3 linked regions of the Rattus norvegicus genome follow. The protein of the gene in region 1 purifies or fractionates together with the protein of each later gene. This does not show direct contact. Links are inferred from orthologs where the notes say so. Each region holds a gene or a part of one and is shown in the gene's direction. Other genes may lie near its edges.

The links. Proteins that work in one complex are often made in the same cells at the same time.
Region 2: the proteins of Slc38a9 (region 1) and Lamtor2 purify together in Homo sapiens (co-immunoprecipitation; 5 studies listed by BioGRID and IntAct, with this or other methods). This does not show direct contact. The link is inferred for Rattus norvegicus from reciprocal best matches to the Homo sapiens genes SLC38A9 and LAMTOR2.
Region 3: the proteins of Slc38a9 (region 1) and Lamtor4 purify together in Homo sapiens (affinity purification with mass spectrometry; 4 studies listed by BioGRID and IntAct, with this or other methods). This does not show direct contact. The link is inferred for Rattus norvegicus from reciprocal best matches to the Homo sapiens genes SLC38A9 and LAMTOR4.

The regions. Positions count from the first base shown.
Region 1 is NC_086020.1:46,033,928-46,039,949, forward strand, and holds the start of Slc38a9 (neutral amino acid transporter 9), read left to right. Parts: upstream 1-2,140; 5' UTR 2,141-2,169; coding exon 2,170-2,279; exon of another isoform or gene 2,280-6,022.
Region 2 is NC_086020.1:176,306,354-176,312,447, reverse strand, and holds the start of Lamtor2 (ragulator complex protein LAMTOR2), read left to right. Parts: upstream 1-2,719; 5' UTR 2,720-2,795; coding exon 2,796-2,863; intron 2,864-3,160; coding exon 3,161-3,323; exon of another isoform or gene 3,324-4,550; intron 4,551-5,046; coding exon of another isoform or gene 5,047-5,124; coding exon 5,125-5,214; intron 5,215-5,918; coding exon 5,919-5,975; 3' UTR 5,976-6,094. Other genes in the region: Ubqln4 (ubiquilin-4), read right to left, coding at 145-296, 1,725-1,832. UniProt on the Homo sapiens protein: As part of the Ragulator complex it is involved in amino acid sensing and activation of mTORC1, a signaling complex promoting cell growth in response to growth factors, energy levels, and amino acids.
Region 3 is NC_086030.1:22,369,547-22,375,643, forward strand, and holds the start of Lamtor4 (ragulator complex protein LAMTOR4), read left to right. Parts: upstream 1-2,722; 5' UTR 2,723-2,791; coding exon 2,792-2,794; intron 2,795-3,233; coding exon 3,234-3,314; intron 3,315-5,801; coding exon 5,802-5,919; intron 5,920-6,097. UniProt on the Homo sapiens protein: As part of the Ragulator complex it is involved in amino acid sensing and activation of mTORC1, a signaling complex promoting cell growth in response to growth factors, energy levels, and amino acids.

The DNA.
Region 1 (6,022 bases):
AGACGGCCTAGCACTGGTGAAGAGGGGTCAGCTCAAACTTGGATTACCTAGTTCTGAGAGTCCATAATTGGTCCCTTGCACCTTTTATCTTTCTACATAAACAGCCATACCAACAGTAACTTAAACAGTTGCCATACCAACAGTAACTTAAACAGTTAAGAATAAGAGCAACAATGGCTTTTACAGCTCACAGTGCATTTCATTTTATGTAGTTCTTTGCATTGGACAGTGAAGTATGCATACACAGAAGTGCATTAAATGCATACACACTCACACATACATAGAGTTATAGAGCAAATATGCCTGTAACAATTAGATTGAAGAAGGTGAACACTGCCTATACCCTATACGATCTCCTGTCTTCCTGTTAATCCCAGTAGCGTGTTCTCTCAGCCATCAGAAGGGATGCTGTTCCACCTGGGTAGTTTCCAGGACAGAAGTTGTCTCATGCATTATAAAATGTTTAGTGTCTTATGATCTCTGTCCTTGATTTGTCAGTTAAACACATCCTCCCCCAAATTATACCAACTAATTGCACGACATCAAATTCCTTCTGTATTGCTCTGTTCTACTCTCTTCGTGGTAGAATAAACTGTAGGGCGGGGATAAGAGCAGGAAGTTCCACTCATCTGCTAGAGTTCTTTACCCTTCACATTGAGTACTGTTGGGAGCCTGACTGCAGAGAGAGATGTGGCTGAGGCCTTCAATCTTCTCGGGATTGGAACCGTCTTAGGTCCCATGTTGCTGTTATTGAAAGATGGCCTTTTACCTTAGGTGATTTTAATTGAACCACTGATGAGTTCCTCAATGAAAACAGAGTAAGTAAGCAAAACAAAATGTATTTCAGCAAATGAGCTATTCCAGAGTTTATCAATATAGTACCCTTTGGCTTATATTGTAACTCCTGTGAGAGTTCCCAGGATCTAATAGAATAAAAATCCTGATCCAGCTGGTGAAGAAAACATTACATCTCCCCTTAACCTCCCGGCAGCCCTGTTCTCAACAGTTTCTGTTAAAGCATGAGTACCAAGGATGAGAATATAATACATTTAAAGCATTTTAAAGTAAAATTTCACATATATCGGTAATAATAATTAAAAAAAGTTCTCAAAACAAGAAAACAGCTGCAACAGTAAGGAAGGGAGATGATGTGCTTCTGGATTTTAGTGAAGGAAGAGCCAATCAGAGTCCAAATGGATTAGATGCTGAGTGTGAGAAGTCTCTGGTAAGATAAGCAGAAGGACCAAGATTCCACTAGTTGAAGTAAGAAAACCGTATGCATGTGGTTTGGGGTTTGTCTTTTCATGTTTGAGGAAGGAAGTCGAGTTTGGAGCGTGCTAAGTGTGAGTTGTAGAACTACACTAGGTTAAAGGTGCTGAGTAGCTAGTTGAATATGCAGGTGTGTACTCAGGAGAGATGTTTGGCTAGACTCTTTACCGGGGAGGTTGGCTTCCTTTAATCTTCTGAACTTTCTGTAGTTGAAGAGCTTTCTTTTTATACCTCCTAATGTGATAGCCACTAACTAGCCACAGTGCTAAGGAGATGTAGTTTCCTTGTGAGGGAGTGAGGCCCCTTTACTCCTTGTACTCTGCTCTGAGGGGAAACTCACAGTCTTTACTTTAGGTGGACCTTGATCTCTGTTTGTTTCCCTAAGTCTCGAGGCTTTGAAGTCATCAGTTCAAATTCTGAAAAAGCAGCCATTCCCTGCAGCCATTCCAGTGTTTCTTTTCTTTGCTGCCAGCTTACCTGATTTCATTCTCTCTCTCTTTAAGCCTTTCAAAAAGATTTTTAAAAATATTCTATTCCAGGATTGGCTCCAAATAACTGACTCTTTATATTCCTGGAAAGGAATTGTCTCACTTACTTTTCTTTAGGATGAAAGAGAAAAATGTCAAGTTAGTAATATTTCTGATAAATGTCAATCATATACCCCATTTAAGCCCTGATGGCTTTACACCTATAGTCCGTGGCTTGCTCAGCAGTGGGAGACCAAACTGGGTAACAGTGAGCCGTCTTTGAAAATGATACCAACAGCAAATCCCCATTCTTCTCTATTTTGCTTTCATGCAAATATATTAAAAATAGTAAAATGTTTTTAAGACTAAACTAAATTACCTTTTTCTGGTTCATATAGGACTGCCTTCCCCAGTGCCTGGAATCTGAGAAAAAATGGCAAACGTGGATAGTGACTCTAGGCATCTTATCTCTGAGGTAGAACATGAAGTGAATCCCGGACCTATGAATATCCAGTTTGACTCCTCAGACCTAAGATCTAAAAGGTAAGGTCTTAATGTGTTTATTTCATAATTAGGGCTTCTAACAATTAAGATATAATACATTACAGCCCAAAAGATCAATAGTATTGATAGGGAAATAATCGTTTTCTTACAGAATTTTTACTCTGATGTATATGCATATGGTGACACGAATCCTGTGCCCTCGTTTACACATTTTCGTGTCTTGGAATGAGCGTGTCTGCTATCAAGTAGGATGCATTTATGTAATTGACTCAAATATCTGTGATTACCCACTTCACGCAAAGTAATCCGATGCTAAAGATAGAAAAGGAATAGCCTTTTACCTTCACTTAATTTAAATACCAGCAGATAATTTAAAATAATTTCAGATTAAATAATTTTTCAATTTATAATTGGAAACCTCAAGAGAATCTTTAAAAAAAATAAGTAGAAAAGAGGACTAGTGAGTGAGTTCAAGAAAATAGTTACTGGGTTGAGAGATGCTGCGGTACAATGTGTGATGTGCAGAGGTGAGGACCGAAGGCTGCATCCCAGCTACCACATAAGCTGGATGTGAGCCTGTGCACACCTAAGACACAGTGACGGAGTGGGTAGAGACAGGAGGATCACCATGACTTGCTGGCTGCCAATCTGATTGAAAAACAAACAAACAAACAAACAAAAAAACCAAACAAACAGGAGTTCCAGACTAAGGAAGACCCTGGCTCTTAGAAATAAGACTGAGGATAATTGCCCTCCTCTGGCCTCAGTGCGTGAACATATTTGCGGGCACACATACACAAAGTGGTTACTTACAAAATAGGAAAAAAGAAGACCAAAAATGGCGGCACACACCTAGCAGTTAGCACTCAAGAGGCAGAGGCAGGAGATTGGGGCCAGCCTGGGCTACTTAGTGATACCTTGTCTATTGGAAAAGAAAAGAAGTAACACGCCAAAAAAAAAAACAAAAAAACAAAAAAAAAACAAAAAACCCGAGGCACTAGAGAGATGGCTCAGCAGGAAAGGCTCTTGCCACTAAGCCTGACTACTTGGGTTAGCTCCCCAAGCCTCACATGAGAGAGGGAGGAACTTACCCAGTGCCAGTGTTCTGACCTGCATATGCACAATAGCACTAGAGTGTTCTCACACTGAGTAAATGAAGGAAGAAAGTTATAAAAAGTTTAAACGAAAAATAAATAGTCTTCCGGTGAGGAAATGAGGTAGAAAAATTTATAAAATATCCTTAAAGTAGTTTTAACAGGAATATGCAAAATCTGCGAGAAAAACTAAAATGTTCCTGAATGATGCAAAATGGGATTTGGAGTATTTCATCAAATCTGAGATGCTCTTGGTTGTAAATTGCATTTAGAATATACAAAGCTTGGCATAGTGGTACACGCTTTTAACCCCAACACTTATAAGGTATAAACAGGCAGAGTCCTATGGGTTTGAGGCCAGTCTGCTCTAGAGTGAGTTCCAGGAGAGCTAGAGCTACGTACTGAGACCTTGTCTTGAATGGTAGGTAGGTAGAGGTAGACGGACAGACAGACAGACAGACAAAGAGGGTCTGGAATGAAGCTCAGTGGTTAAGAGAACTGGCTTTTCTTCCAGAGGACATGGGTTTGATTCCTAGCACATACATACATGATAGCTCATAACCATGTGTAATTCCAATCCCAGGAGATCTGACTCCTTCTGTCCTCCATCAGCAGTAGTCGTGCCCATGGTGCACAGACATTCTTGCAGACAAAGCACCCAGACACATAAACAGACCATTTCAAAAAACCCAACGCACAACACACAGGCGTACACTGCACACTGTCTGTGGGTATTATACATGTAAAAACCTGGACTTGGAATTTTTGCTTTCTTTTCACTGAAAGAACTCTTGACCATATTGTGTGTTATTTCTCATTTGTCTCTTATAGAACTATAAACGTTGATCATAGAAACAACATGCATTGGTTAAGACATTATAACACCTCACACTTAGAAAACCTGATTCTTCTGGATCACTTTTTGATTTGGTCATCAGACATGTTGTGTGTCCCTCCTGCGTGGACAGTTGTGAGAGTGGGTGACTTTGATGACACAACCTTCCTTGATTTTCTCCAGCAGCTCTGAGGATGCTCGCAGATCCCTGTACTTGTACTGTCCTGGTCTCACCAGATGGTGTCAGGAGAGGTCTTCTCTTACGGATCCCAGTCCTTCCTGAAGTGGTTCTGTGGTTTGACTGAGGTGGCCCAGGATGGCAGTTATTTGTCACACACCACTAGAGGTAGCCATCATACCACCACCCGGCCAACAGTGATTCAGACATTGGGTGTTAAAGATTATGAGGTGTCCTCATTTAGAAACGTTTAAATGTATATATTAGAAAAGTATGTTATCAGTATCAGTATGACAGAAAGTCATCGTCTACTCCAGGCAGGAAGAATAAAATTGTAATCCAGGGGGCTTCAATCCAGGAGAGAGGTTCTGCCAGTGAAGTATTTATCATACAAACTTGAGCACCTGAATTTGGGTTCCAGCATCCATATAAAATCCAGGAGCTGTGGTGCATACCTGTAATCGCCACACTAGGGAGGCAGGGCTTCTGGAGAGCATTGGCTAGCTAGCCCAGCCAAACTGATGAGCTCCAGGCTAGTGAGAGACTATCACAGTAAATAAATAAGCAAATGAATGAATGAATGAATGAATACACCACCTCAAATATGCCAATAAATGAAGGAGAGGGAGAGAGAGAGAGAGAGAGAGAGAGAGAGAGAGAGAGAGAGAGAGAAGCAGTTCAAGTAGATACCTGATGTGCTCACAAATGCATACATACACATGTGCACACAGAGATGTGCACCCAGAAAAAAAGAATTTTACCCACAAAGTTCGTGTGATCCTACACTCAAATCCCAGCAGTCAATTCTGAGGTTTCTGTGCATCAGCGATCTCACTGCTACACACACTGCTTTACGGTGTCAGGCGGTGTGTACACAGGGTCATGTAAGTTGCTAAGAAAGCAACTAAAATGTGTTTTCTTCCAGGACTGAAAACTTAATTATGGCATATTCATACAGTGGAATATTTTTCATCTAAAACAAAGGAGGTGGCCTTATGATATAACAAAATGGAACAACTCGTTATTTTGTTGAAAGGAAAAAGTGAAGTGCAGAGCAGTATCTGTAGTCCGCCACCATTCATGTACAGTCAGTTACTGCATTGTAGACCATGCAGTATATGTAGATGAGGTCTGGGGAGGGCTCAGATGGCTGAGAGGGACCGCACAGCTGAGGTAAGGGAGCCTGGTGCAGTGTTAGCAGATAGTCAGCACCTAGTCATTGCCACCCTCCTTCCTGTCAGCGGAGGGTTAGTCTGCTTAAGAGCTGCAGCAGACAGATGACAGTGAGCTGAGCCTGGCAACCCATTCTTGTATTGTAACCCATTGTAACCCCTTCTTCAGATACTTGATTTTTCAGTTTTTCTTGTAGCTACAACTGGAAGTGTAAAATTTATCCCTGAAGAAGTCGTCGTTAACAGTGGCTATCAGAAGAAATAGAGAAGTTGGTAATGTTGATTCTTACTGGTATATTCCAGTCTCGGTGAATGTATGCATTTACAAATGCTGACAATGTTCAGAGTTTTCTTGAAGCTTCCAAGTTCTGTGCTAAATAATCGGCCACTGTGACAATAAGACATAGGTCATTAAAGTGCATTCCATTACAATGAGTTGGCAGGAGTTCAGTTCCTCGAAATTTTAATCTAACAGGGTATATTAAATGGAAATACATTTTCTG
Region 2 (6,094 bases), about 130 Mb from region 1:
AGTATTTGGTCAGGCTCCTCTAGAGGTAAGACCTTATCCATCTGCGCCCGGCCTGGCTGACAGTGTCTGGGCAGTTGAACAGGTGAGAAAGGATCTGAAAGGAAGTCCCAGTAGGAGCAAGGTCAGCTCCTTCCCTGAACTTACTTCTGAGGGGTTTTGATGACTAGATGAACCGTGAGCCCGTCCTTGATCCCATGCTGGTTCAGTGTGTCTCCATCCTTGAGGATCTTGCCTGCGAAGATCAGGACCAGCTGATCCTGCTGAGCCTTAAACCTCCGGGAGATTTCCTCCTTGAACTGTGGTCAAGAGGCAGAGATCACTGTGGAGGCTAACTGCACTGCACTGCCAGGACTCTACCCTCAACTCTGCCCCTCTAGCTACAAGAATGGGCAGTGAGATGGATCTGCTTTTGTCCGATTAGTTCCACGATGCAGTCTTCCAACCCTAGAAAGCCCCTGCTGCTGTCTACTCCAGCAGCTTCTGTCCTACCACCCAATTCTCACAGCAGTATGGGCAGCCCTCCCCATCCTAACTCCTTCAACTAGGACTCAGGCTGACTCTCTTCAGTCTTCTCCCTGCTCTTAATTCCCAGCTTCCTCATAATTATAACAAATCGTCTAGGAATTACTGAGGTCTATTGAGTAATCTAGTGTGTCAGTTATCATTGCCATCTCATTTTATCTATCTATCTATCTATCTATCTATCTATCTATCTCTATCTATCCATCTATCCATCCATTCATCATCTATCTAGAGGGTCTCTAGCTCTTGCTGTCCTGGAACGCTTCATATAGACCTCGAACTCAGAGAGATCCACCTGCTTCTGCCTCCCAAGAGCTGGGATTTTAAAGATAAGGATCAGAGAGTGAATAACGCATCCGGGGGAAATAGGAACTCAAGTCTGGACATCAGACACATCTTCAATAAGAGCTGTTTTGTAATTCACCTTTTCCCGGGAGACTTGAAATTCTTGCATGAGAAAGCAGCAGTGTTACCAAAGGCTACACCGGGGCGAGTTAAATTTTTTAGATTCTATCAGCTCCTTCCAAAACACAACAACACAACACATACTCTAACTATAAACAGTGCACTTGCTAAGCAAAGATCCCTCTTCCAACCAGATGGCCTATCCTAAGCCCCGCCTATGTGCAATTCTGAAGCAGCTTCAAGCAGTGGGGGACACAGACAGGCAATAGTCCCTCACTTATTCTACATTATTTTGTTGAGCACCTACTGCGCTCAGTAAATGTGGTGGAGCAGAAAGAAAACTGAACTACACAACCGTTTCGATTTGCGACAAGGAGAGTCTGTGGAGAGAAGAGAGAGCACCACCACCACGAGACACTCCCAGGGGAGCATAGCCGCAGCTCGCTCGGGCCTCACTGTACCTCAGCGCCTGGAACCTCCACCAATAACCCTGGCGCACACTCCCCTCAAGCCTAGGATCCTTCTGGAGCCTGCAAGCAAGGTGTCCCTTCCTCAAGCTCCCCCACCACGCCCCCAGCCCTGGTAGTGCGGCCAAATCGGCCCCTACCCGCGCCACACTCCCCGGACTAGCCCGGGTAGGGCGCCCCCTACCCGCCTCTCCCGCCTGGATGCCCCTGGGTTCCGCCCCGGCCGGGGGCCCGTCCCCGGCGCCAGGCCGTTCCCCTAGGTCTTCCTCTCTACGCTGACCCCTCAGTGCGCTGCTCCCGCCCTCCTCTCTCCCGCGCCAGCCCTACTACCTCCTTGACCGAGGCTTGATCGCAGATCAGGATCTCCTCCTTGTCCTTGGGGGTCTTGACGGTGACCCGAATCTGGGGCCTCGTCTCAGCCCCACTCGGCTCCGCCATGCCGCCGCCCGGCCGCCCGCCAGCCCGCCCAGCTCCTCCTCCTCCTCCTCCTCCTGGCCCGCCCGGCCCGGCTCGGCTCCGGAGCCTCCAACTCCCCCTCCCGCCCCTCCCCAAGGCTCCGCCGCCCCCTCCGGACAGCTGCAGCCACAGCGCCCCGGGCGGCCTGGGGGGGCACTGCAGTTGGGGCGGCCCGGGCCCGAGCGGGGTGCGCAGCTGGCCCGGGCCGGATAGTGCGGCCCGCGCAGAGGGCGGGAGATTCAGGGCCGCCCGCGGTTCCGTCCCGTTTGGACAAAGGACTTTCGGTGTCGCCGTCTCATCTCCGTTCCCCGAGGTAACTATTTTTCTTGAAAGGCAGAATCGGCCAGGCCTAGGTTCGTTCCTGGCTCAGGGCGTCCTTAAAACCTCTGCAGATTCTAACAGTCGTGACCTCCCGGGAACCGCCCCGAGGGGGCCATTAAGGACGGTTTCAGAGACCTGGAGTTTGCCTACGTGGCTTCTCTGAGCCCTGGGTGTCAAGAAAGCAAGACTCTACAGAATTGTGACTAGCGTACAATATTGCTTTAAAAAATGGCTAAGGATGTGCCTAACAGATACAGAGATTTATTATTAGATTGCGATTGACCAGTAGGCACGGAGGCGCCCTTCGCGTGGAAGAGGTTAAAAGTCCTTCCAACATTGCCACTGTCCTTGCGCTCCCGCTCTTTTCCCCCCCACAGCCACATGGTCTGACTGAAAAGCTGAACTATAGTTCCCAGAATTCCTTGAGCGGTCACAAAAAACTACGATTCCCAGAGGCCCCCGCGCGGGGCGGGAATTGGACCACAGCCTCAGTAAATAAGCCCGGTGACTACAACTCCCAGGTGCCTCGTAGCTGGGCTTCCGGGCCACCGGAAGCGATGAGGGAGGGCAAGAGGCTGCGACTGTAGTGTTTGTGGGAGCAGGTCAGGGTTAAGAGACGCAGGCATGCTGCGTCCTAAGGCTTTGACGCAGGTGCTAAGCCAAGCCAACACTGGAGGAGTCCAAAGTACCCTGTGAGTGAACAACAAGAACCCAAACAGCGAGCGCTGAAATGGGGCGGCGTGCGGATCCCTGCAGTAGGGGTAGGGAAGGAGCCCTGCGCCGGGAGGTGGCTAATGTTGCAAACTGCAGCTTCGGGAACCCTGCGTGAGGGCCTCCTCCGAAAGGGGAATCGACAGTTGATTAGCATGTTCCTGGATATATCCAGCACAGATTCTTGCTTCCTGAAAGCGCAAGTAGCTGGAATTGGGATAGGAACTCAGGCCTTTTACTCTTCCTGAGTTTGTTGATATCCTTCCCATTCTTGTCAGGCTGCTGAATAATGAGGGATCGTTGCTGGCCTACTCCGGTTATGGGGACACAGATGCCCGGGTCACCGCGGCCATCGCCAGTAACATCTGGGCCGCATACGATAGGAACGGGAACCAAGCGTTTAATGAAGACAGTCTCAAATTTATCCTCATGGACTGCATGGTATGAAGTAAAGTAGGCTGACCTCGAACTTACAATGATCATTGTGCTTCTGCCTTCTGAATACTGAATTTGCATGTGTTCACAGTCGCACCTTGCCAAATAAAACGTAGATATTAAAAAAGGAAGTGAGAGTAGGGTGCAGGCCTATGTAAGGGTCAATCTCAGCGAAAAGGAGACATTTGTTAAAAGATCTGGAAGACGATTGGAAAGGGTAAGAGCCATGAAGAGATCTTTTGGAAAAATATTTCTAGCAGTGCTGGCTATGGTGGCTTATTCCTCTAGACTAGTACACAAGAGACTGAGGCAGGATCTCTTTTTTTTTTTTTTTTTTTTTATAAGCTCTTTTTTTTTTTTTTTTAAAGATTTATTTTATTTATATGAGTACACTGTAGCTGTCTTCAGACACACCAGAAGAGGGCATCGGATCCCATTACAGATGGTTGTGAGCCACCATGTGGTTGCTGGGAATTGAACTCAGGACCTCTGGAAGAGCAGTCAGTGCTCTTAACCACTGAGCCATCTCTCTAGCCCCGAGGCAGGATCTCTTTGAGTGTTTATTTTCTTTTTCTTTTTTGGTTTTGTTTTTTTTTTTTGGTTTTTTTTTTTGAGACAGGGCTTCTCTACGCAGCCCTGGTTATCCTGGAAGTCTGTAAAATCAGGGGGACCTCAAAATCTGAAATCTGCTAGCCTCTGCCTCTCAAGTACTGGGACTAAAGGCGTGCACCACCAACGACCAGCCGTTGCACGTATTTCCGACAACAGTTGTTGCAAAGGACCTAGGGCAGAGTGATGCCAGGACAAAGATCAGTAAGGATGGAGTGTCATAGAATGGAGAAAAGTTATTAGGAGATAGCACTAAAGAGGCCTGTGGGCTTCCCAGTCCTCTGAAGAATGATAGTGTGCAGAGCACTGCTGTTCTCTGGCTGCCCATTCTTTACACCCCTCTTACCCACTGCTGGACTCCTACCGGGTGCTGGGTCTAGGGCTGGTGCCATTGAACAGAAGCTTCAAAGGCATTCACTGCAGCCCAGCTATAAGAAATGCATTTTAATGGACAGATGGTGGAGCTCAGTGGTAGAGCAGTAGCTTAGAATGTATGGGATTCTAGAATCTATTCCTAGAAACACAATTTGTGTTTTTGAGTCAGAGCCTAGCACACACACTAAAGCAAGTTCCGTGAAGCATCACTTCTCTTAATAAATGAGCCATTTTATTTTTACTTTCAAATGTTGATCCACTTTAATTGATCTCCATTTTGAACAGTTACAAAGTAGGAAAAGAGACATGTAAGTTGTGTGTGTGTGGGGGTCGTTGTTACCTTTTTAAGGTTTATTTTATTCTGTATGTGTGAGTTGCTATGCCCGGATGTTATATTGAGCACCATGTGCATGCACAGTGCCCTCGGGGTGAAAGAAGGCATTGGATCCCCTAAACTAGATGATTGGCAGCACAATGTTGCTGTTGGGAATCGAACTCAAGTCTACTGCAAGAGCAACAAACAAGTTGGGCTATTGTTCCTGGTCCCTCACCTGTTGAGACAATTCAGCATTAGAGAAGAAAGCCCCAATTTCTCAAAGACTTGGTTCCCCAGGATAACTTGGTTAGGACATGGCTCTGCTGAGGCTGGAATTCAGTTTCAGACCCCCATAGCTTAAATGCTGGGCAAAGTTCCCTGTCTGAACTGCCTGCTCTGCCAAGCTTGGGAGACAATATCTATCTCTAGGACCAGAGGAACCCTGGGGAAGGCAGGAACCAAGGATGTCAAGCAGAGTGCCCCAGTGTATTATGTCATTCCCACCAGGAGGGCCGTGTAGCCATTACCAGGGTGGCCAACCTTCTGCTATGTATGTATGCCAAGGAGACTGTAGGCTTCGGGATGCTCAAGGCCAAGGTGAGTACATTCCTATGCTACAAACTTCCTGGGCTGGAACCAGATCTACCTATGCACACCCTTGCTCTGAATAAGGACATGGAATCTTTAATTAGCTTTATTATAAATTTTGGGCACTATAGCTGGGCAGATTCTCAACTGTTCTAACCCAACAATACTGGCTTGGCCTACGTCCCATCCCATGTCCCATTACCTGTCCATCTTCGTCATGTCCCGGCACCTGCTTCTTCATCCTTGTCCAGCTGCTGACTCCTCAGGGCTGACTCTCAGAATTCCTATCTCTTCCTAGAAGTTCCACCTTCTACTTCCTGCCTCTGCTGTAGACCATCAGCTCTTTAGTAAGCTGATGAGAGGGTGAGAGAGAGTGTATACAAATACGTAGCCAAATGAACCAAAGTCCAGTCTGCACTCAACTCTGCTGGCACAGAGGTCTGCATTTGAATAATACAAAGACAATCTTTACATAGCACACAACTGTATCAGCCCAGCATTGGTCCCAGCCACTGTGCCTGTTCACTGTGTTCCTTACATGTCCCCTTTCTAGAGTCCTCATAGCCCCTCACTCATGTCTGGGGTGGGCCAAAGAGCCATGGGGGTGGGCTGGGGATGGTTGGTTGGTAAGTGTGGGGTAGGGAGCCAACCTGGTTTTGGGATCTGTCTGAGCATAAGCAATGCATGGACTGACTCGTGCTCTCACCTTGCAGGCCCAGGCCTTGGTGCAGTACCTGGAGGAACCCCTCACCCAAGTAGCAGCCTCATAATAGTGTGATGGAAGCTGGAGTGGAAAAGGGATCGTGATTGGGAAGAGCAGGGCCCCGGAAATGCCTCACTGGGCTGGGTGAGGGGTTGCTTTTTTCTAAATAAATTTTCAACTCTTGCC
Region 3 (6,097 bases), on another chromosome or scaffold:
GACTCACGAATAGGACCCTGCAAAGAGGGCCTTGTATTAATAAAAATGTCAACAGGAAGTTTTGAGGTAAAATTGAATGTAATTTACATTATTGCACAGACTGCGTGTGGTTGAAAAACCAGTGTTCTGTGTGTTGTTGACGGTTTCCGTGACATCATGTTTATGCAACATCTAAAAGGAGATAAAAACTTTGCCTTCTGATTTCATGTCCTTTTTAAAATAATTCTTATTTTAAATGTGTGTGTGCACGTGTATGTACATTCGCGCACATGAGTGCTTGCATGCACATGCATGTGCTAATACATTCATGCAGGTGTCCACAGAGGCCAGAAGAGAGAGGACATCAGATCCCCTAGAGCTGAAGCTTGTGAGCTGCCTGACCCCGTCTCTGGGAACCAACCCAGGTCCCCTGGAATGTCAGCACAGGATGCTAACCACCACGCAATCCGCCTAGACCTTCATTTCCTTCTCGATCACTGAATACCAATGGTTCCTGAATAGTTCATTGCAATCCAAAAGCATAAAGGTAGTTTTAAAGAACTGTATAATTGGTCCACAGAGCAAAGGAAAAAGCATCGGCCTTGGCGTCATACCATGGAGAGTGGGAACTAACTCTTCCACTGGCCGGTTGTACTGGATGCAGCTGGAGTTATTACAGGGAAGTTAAGGGGGTGCCATGATGGGCTTATGACTGAGAGTCTTAGATGAGTGTGGAGAGCGCTGCTCCCAGCCAGTGGTGAACGGTGACGGCACACAGCTGGAACCTTTGCACTTGGGAGGTGGAAACAGGAGCGCCAGGAACTCAAGGTCAGCCTAAGTTAGATGAAGTTCTGCCTCAAACAAGACAAAACAAACAAAACAAAACCATGTGATTCCTCAGCATCATGGGTATCTAAGGCCTGGGAGGGCCTGAATGTTTAGCATCTTTGAACAGCTTTCTCTTCACAGTCTCTGCCAATTTAAAATTTCTTTCAAGACCACCCCACTAGTTAGCTTAAAATAGCCTCTAACTCAAGTTCCTTCCACTTCCCTCCCAGCTTTGGGATTATAGGTATGCATCACCACAGCCACTTAAGTTTAAATTGTATATTGTAATTATACTTTTTTATATTTTCATTTTTATGGTTTTGGTTTTTCAGTACAGGGTTTCCTCTGTGTAGCCCTGGCTGTCCTGGAACTCACTCTGTAGACCAGGCCGGCCTTGAACTCAAGAGATCTGCCTGCCTCTGCCTCCCAAAAGACAAGATTAAAGCTATGTACCACCACTTCTTGGCTTTTTATATCTATTTTTAATGTGTGTGTGTGTGTGTGTGTGTGTGTGTGTGTGTGTGTGTGTCCATGTGTACCGTAGCTCACAAGTGTAGGTTTGAGAACTATTTGTGGGGTTGGTTGTTTCCTTTAACAATGTGGGACTCAGTGATCAAACTCAGGTTATTAGGCTTGGCGGCAAGCACCTTTGCCTGCTGAGCCTCTTTGCTGGCCCTACTTCAAAATTGTTGCCATGTTGAATTCCGGGCCTGGGCATGCTGGGCAAGTGTTCAAACTCAGACCCATGCCTCATTTTTAAAGACATGCATTTTCTCTAATTAGCTGCTTCTCCTAAACCAAGACGATTTGGGGTGGAGGACTTTCTTTCTTGAGCTATGATTAGTGCTGGGGATACAGACCAGATGGAGAGCTCTTACCCAGCATGCGCAAGGCCCTTACTTTGCTTCTCGGCACTGAAAATAAGGGGGGGGGGGGGGAGGGTTATATAATTCACAGATCTTGAAACATTTTAATTCAAAGTGTACAACCTATGTCACAGTCACAAAGATAGGCAGACTTCAATACGAATCCCAAAAAGTTTAAATCACACGTGCCACTCCCCCCCCCCCCTTAATAGGCACTTCCTATTTTCTCTTGCCTCACTACCGACCACTAACTGCTTTCACGTTTTTCTGGATTTGCCAGAAGTGTATGTGTTTTAGTTAGGCTCCTGGTAGGTAGCTCAGGCTGGCACTGAACTCACTATTCAGTCCAATCTGGCCTGAACTTGAAACCCCCTTCCTTGGCTTCCCAGGATTTATACCAGTATTACAAGTATTCAGCGTCAGTCACAGCTAAGCATCTTACATAGATGGAACCACATAATATGTGGTCTTATGTGACTGCCCTTTCAAGCCAGTCCTTCTGGTTGATTCTGAGCCTCTAAAGGCTGAGTTGTCTCTGAAGCTATTCTTCTGGCTTGCTTTAACTTGCTTTCGAGATTCTCAAGTTGCTCTTGGTGTCAGGACGTTTTTCCCTTGTATTGATAATATACTACAGTGTGCATATATACACCAAATTTGATTTACCCATTCATATTTGGGTCGTATACTAAGGCAGAAAATTAACACGTGAACAGTTTTTCATGTGTAAACCATCGTCATTCACATTAACTTCTCTTTTCAGGTTGAACCGTGACACCTAACGGGGAAAGCTCTTTACAACACTAGACTGCATTACTTTCTCCTTGGAAGCCTAGGCGCACGCGCACGTTCGTGAGGAGGTGGAGAGGTGCCCCGCCCCTCGCTCAATAACTCTTCAGATAATCTCGCAGGCGAATCCTGAGTGGCGAGGAAATGCAACCAATCCACGAATGTGTCCGGAAAGCGGCGCTCCGCAGTGGTTGATAAAGTCTGATGACGTACGCACCATCCAATGCGCAAGCGAAGGGCTGGGCTAGAGTCAGCTGGTGAACCACCTGACCGGAGCCTGGAGCCGGAAGCTACCTATCCGGTAGACAGCTCCCCCTGCACCTACGGCTGCCATGGTGAGTGAGGACGCATGCGCGGGCTTGTGCGCCTAGGGTTGCGCGTCCCTGTTCCCCAAACTTCGGTTACCCCCTTATGGCTTGCACTCCGCTGTCACCCCCAGTCCACCCTGGGACCGAAAGGAAACAGAGATGGAAGGGAGGCGACCGGGAGGGCTGGAGAAGGAAGGCTCCGCTACCGGGTGTTTTGCGGCCGGGAGTAGTTTTGATGGCACAAGGGGCGGGGCATAAGGGCACTGGAATGAGAAGGGGCTGTGAAGCTAGGAAGGTCTCCTGGGTCACCTGCCTGACAAGTGGAAGAGCTCAGGCGTCCAATAGTGACCATGGATGGAGACTCAGTGTTACAAGCCATTTAGAGGGTCTGAAAGGCTTATATCCAGGAGGGAGATGGGTTTACAAGGCTGTCATGGTTCTCACCTCTTGCCTCTTTACCCACTAGACTTCCGCACTGACCCAAGGGCTGGAACGAATCCCAGACCAGCTTGGCTACCTGGTGCTGAGCGAAGGTGCAGTGCTAGCGGTGCGTTGTGGGAAAGCGAGGCATGGGGTGGTGGCGGTGACGGGGTCCTTTGGGGACACACAACCCAGAAATCCCTTCAAATATTTCCCGCTTTCTCTCAGTTGTCTACTTTTGTCCTCTCTGTGGTTCCCTGCTTGCCATATTTAATGTTTGGATATATGGTATAAATGCTTATTTCCAAAAGGTTGGGGTTATAGCTCAGTCAGGAGAGTGAGTTACTTAGCACGTACAAAGCCTTCAGTTCAATTCCCAATACTGCACAAAACCAAACACAGAGGCACGTGATCTGTAGCCCCAGCACTTGGAAGGTGGAAACCGGCAGATTAGAAATTCAGGTTCATCTTTGGCTATGTATCAAGTCAAATCACAGTCTGGACCACATGTAACTCAGCCTCAAAAAACAAAAACCAAACTTTACCAAAGTCATTCAATTAGTTAGTTACTTGTAGTATGTTTTTATTTGGGATATCTTTAAAAAAGCCGAGGACAACCTTTGGGAGTGAGTTCTCCTCCTGCCATGCGGGTCCTGAGGATTGAAATCCGGTCCTTAGGCAAGCACTTTTATGCTCTGAGCCATTTCACCTGCCCCTAGAATTTTGGGGGGCGGGGGCAAGACTTCTCTAGAGGCAAGGATTGAGCTGAGCTGCTAAGACAGAAGGTTGTGAACGAGGAAGAGAATTCTCAGGGCTGGGAGCTGGACATACTTGCCTGAGTGTAACAGCGCCTGGTTGTGGTCTTGTGTTGAAACAGTTTGAAGAGGAAGGATGCTGTGGTAAGACTCTGATACTGAACTTCCTATGGCTAGCTTCAATATCTTTGGACAAATCTTGAGGGTTACTTAAAGGGTTTTGAAAACATAAATGTGACTCACAGAAATGGTGTAGCATGACTGTCCCAGGAGAGCCATCTAAGAGACTGGCCGGGTAGCAATGAGAAGTAAGGGCTATAGACATTGTATCTATTTTTTTAGTGTCTGCACATGTGTGTGCCCATGCATATGCTAAGACCAGTGTAGGACATTAGAGACCTCCTCTTACCCTTCTCTGCCTTATTCCTTGAGGCAGGGTCTCATACTGAACCTGGAGCTAGACTGGCAACACTGAGCAAGCCTTAGCAATCAACCTGCCTGTACACCCACAGTACTGGGATTCCAGGTGTGAGCATGGCCATGTAGGGTAGGGGATTTGAACTCAGGTCCTCTTGCTTGTACAGCAAGCGCTCTTATCCACTGAGCCATTGCCACAGCCCAGAGATCACATCTTAGAGGTATTAATATATGTTGGTAATAACTAGGTAAAGTACTTCTGCATGTACCTTACCTTTCTGATGTACTCATCCTGTAGGACTCTGAGCAGGGAAAACCAGAAAAGTACTGTGGTACCTGAACAAATAAGAAAGTAAAAAAGGAAGCTGACCAAGGAGGTAGCTAAAGGGAATTTTGATGGCCTGACTATAGACAGGAGATGAGTGAGGTCTGAGATGAGTGAGATGGACTGATAGCAGTTATAGTACATTTATTATGTAGGCACTGTTATAATATTCTCATTGTTTTCTCATGAAACTTCCACAAGCACAGAATATGGGTCCAATATACAGATGGAGAAACTGAGAGCAAAAGGAACTAAATCTAGTAAAGGGCCCATTTAGAATCAGTGGGAAGAGGGAGTAGAAGCAGTTTGTCCAGAGAAGTCTGGACTACTGTCTTCTCATTGACCCTAGAAGTAGCCAGAGGGAAAGCTTCAAAGACAAAGTAGGTGTTTCTGGTTCATAGCCTTCAGACAAGGACAAGTGGGAAGACTGGGGACAAGTGGAACCTTCAAAGATTGAGCAGTTAGCTTAGTGGTAGAACATCTTCCTAGAATCCTCTGTGAGGGGCTGAAGGCATGGGTCAGTAGTAGAACACTTGCCCAGGAGTCCCCCAGTGAGGGGCTGGGGGCGTGGCTCAGTGGTAGAGCCCCTGCCTAGAATCCCCCCAGTGAGGGGCTGGGGGTGTGGCTCAGTGGTACAGCCCCTGCCTAGAATCCCCCAGTGAGGGGCTGGGGGCGTGGCTCAGTGGGAGAGCCCCTGCCTAGAATCCCCCAGTGAGGGGCTGGGGGTGTGGCTCAGTGGTACAGCCCCTGCCTAGAATCCCCCAGTGAGGGGCTGAGGGCGTGGCTCAGTGGTACAGCCCCTGCCTAGAATCCCCCAGTGAGGGGCTGGGGGTGTGATAGATCACTTGGTAATCACACCCTAGGTTTTGATTTTCTGCATGGCTATCAGTAGAGTTGCAAAAGAAGCCTGGTGTCTCAGAATGAGAAACAAAATGGCACAAGGGAAGGCAGCACCATCATAAAGGGGTTTTAGGTAGGATTTTTCTGAAGCTGGGTGATTTGGGACTACAGACAAGGGAGACCATAACAAGTATAGGAAACAGAGGTCCTGTGCCTTGAATTTGTTCCCAACTCTGGCCTCTTTCTTTTGTTCCTGCCCCCCTTCACCCACATGCAGTCATCTGGGGATCTTGAGAACGATGAGCAGGCAGCCAGCGCCATCTCAGAACTGGTCAGCACAGCCTGTGGCTTCCGGCTGCACCATGGCACGAACATCCCTTTCAAGCGCCTGTCTGGTGAGCTCCTGCCTTTGTTGGGTGGTTGCTTCTAGAGACCTCTCTGCTCAGGGAAGGAATTCCTGGCTCCATTCCACTGACTCCCAGTTCCTCCTGGGGTTCCTGGTTCAACTACTGCCTTCATATAGGTTCCTCTAGGACGAGTACGGAGCAGTAAGAACGAGAAGAGGTTTGCACA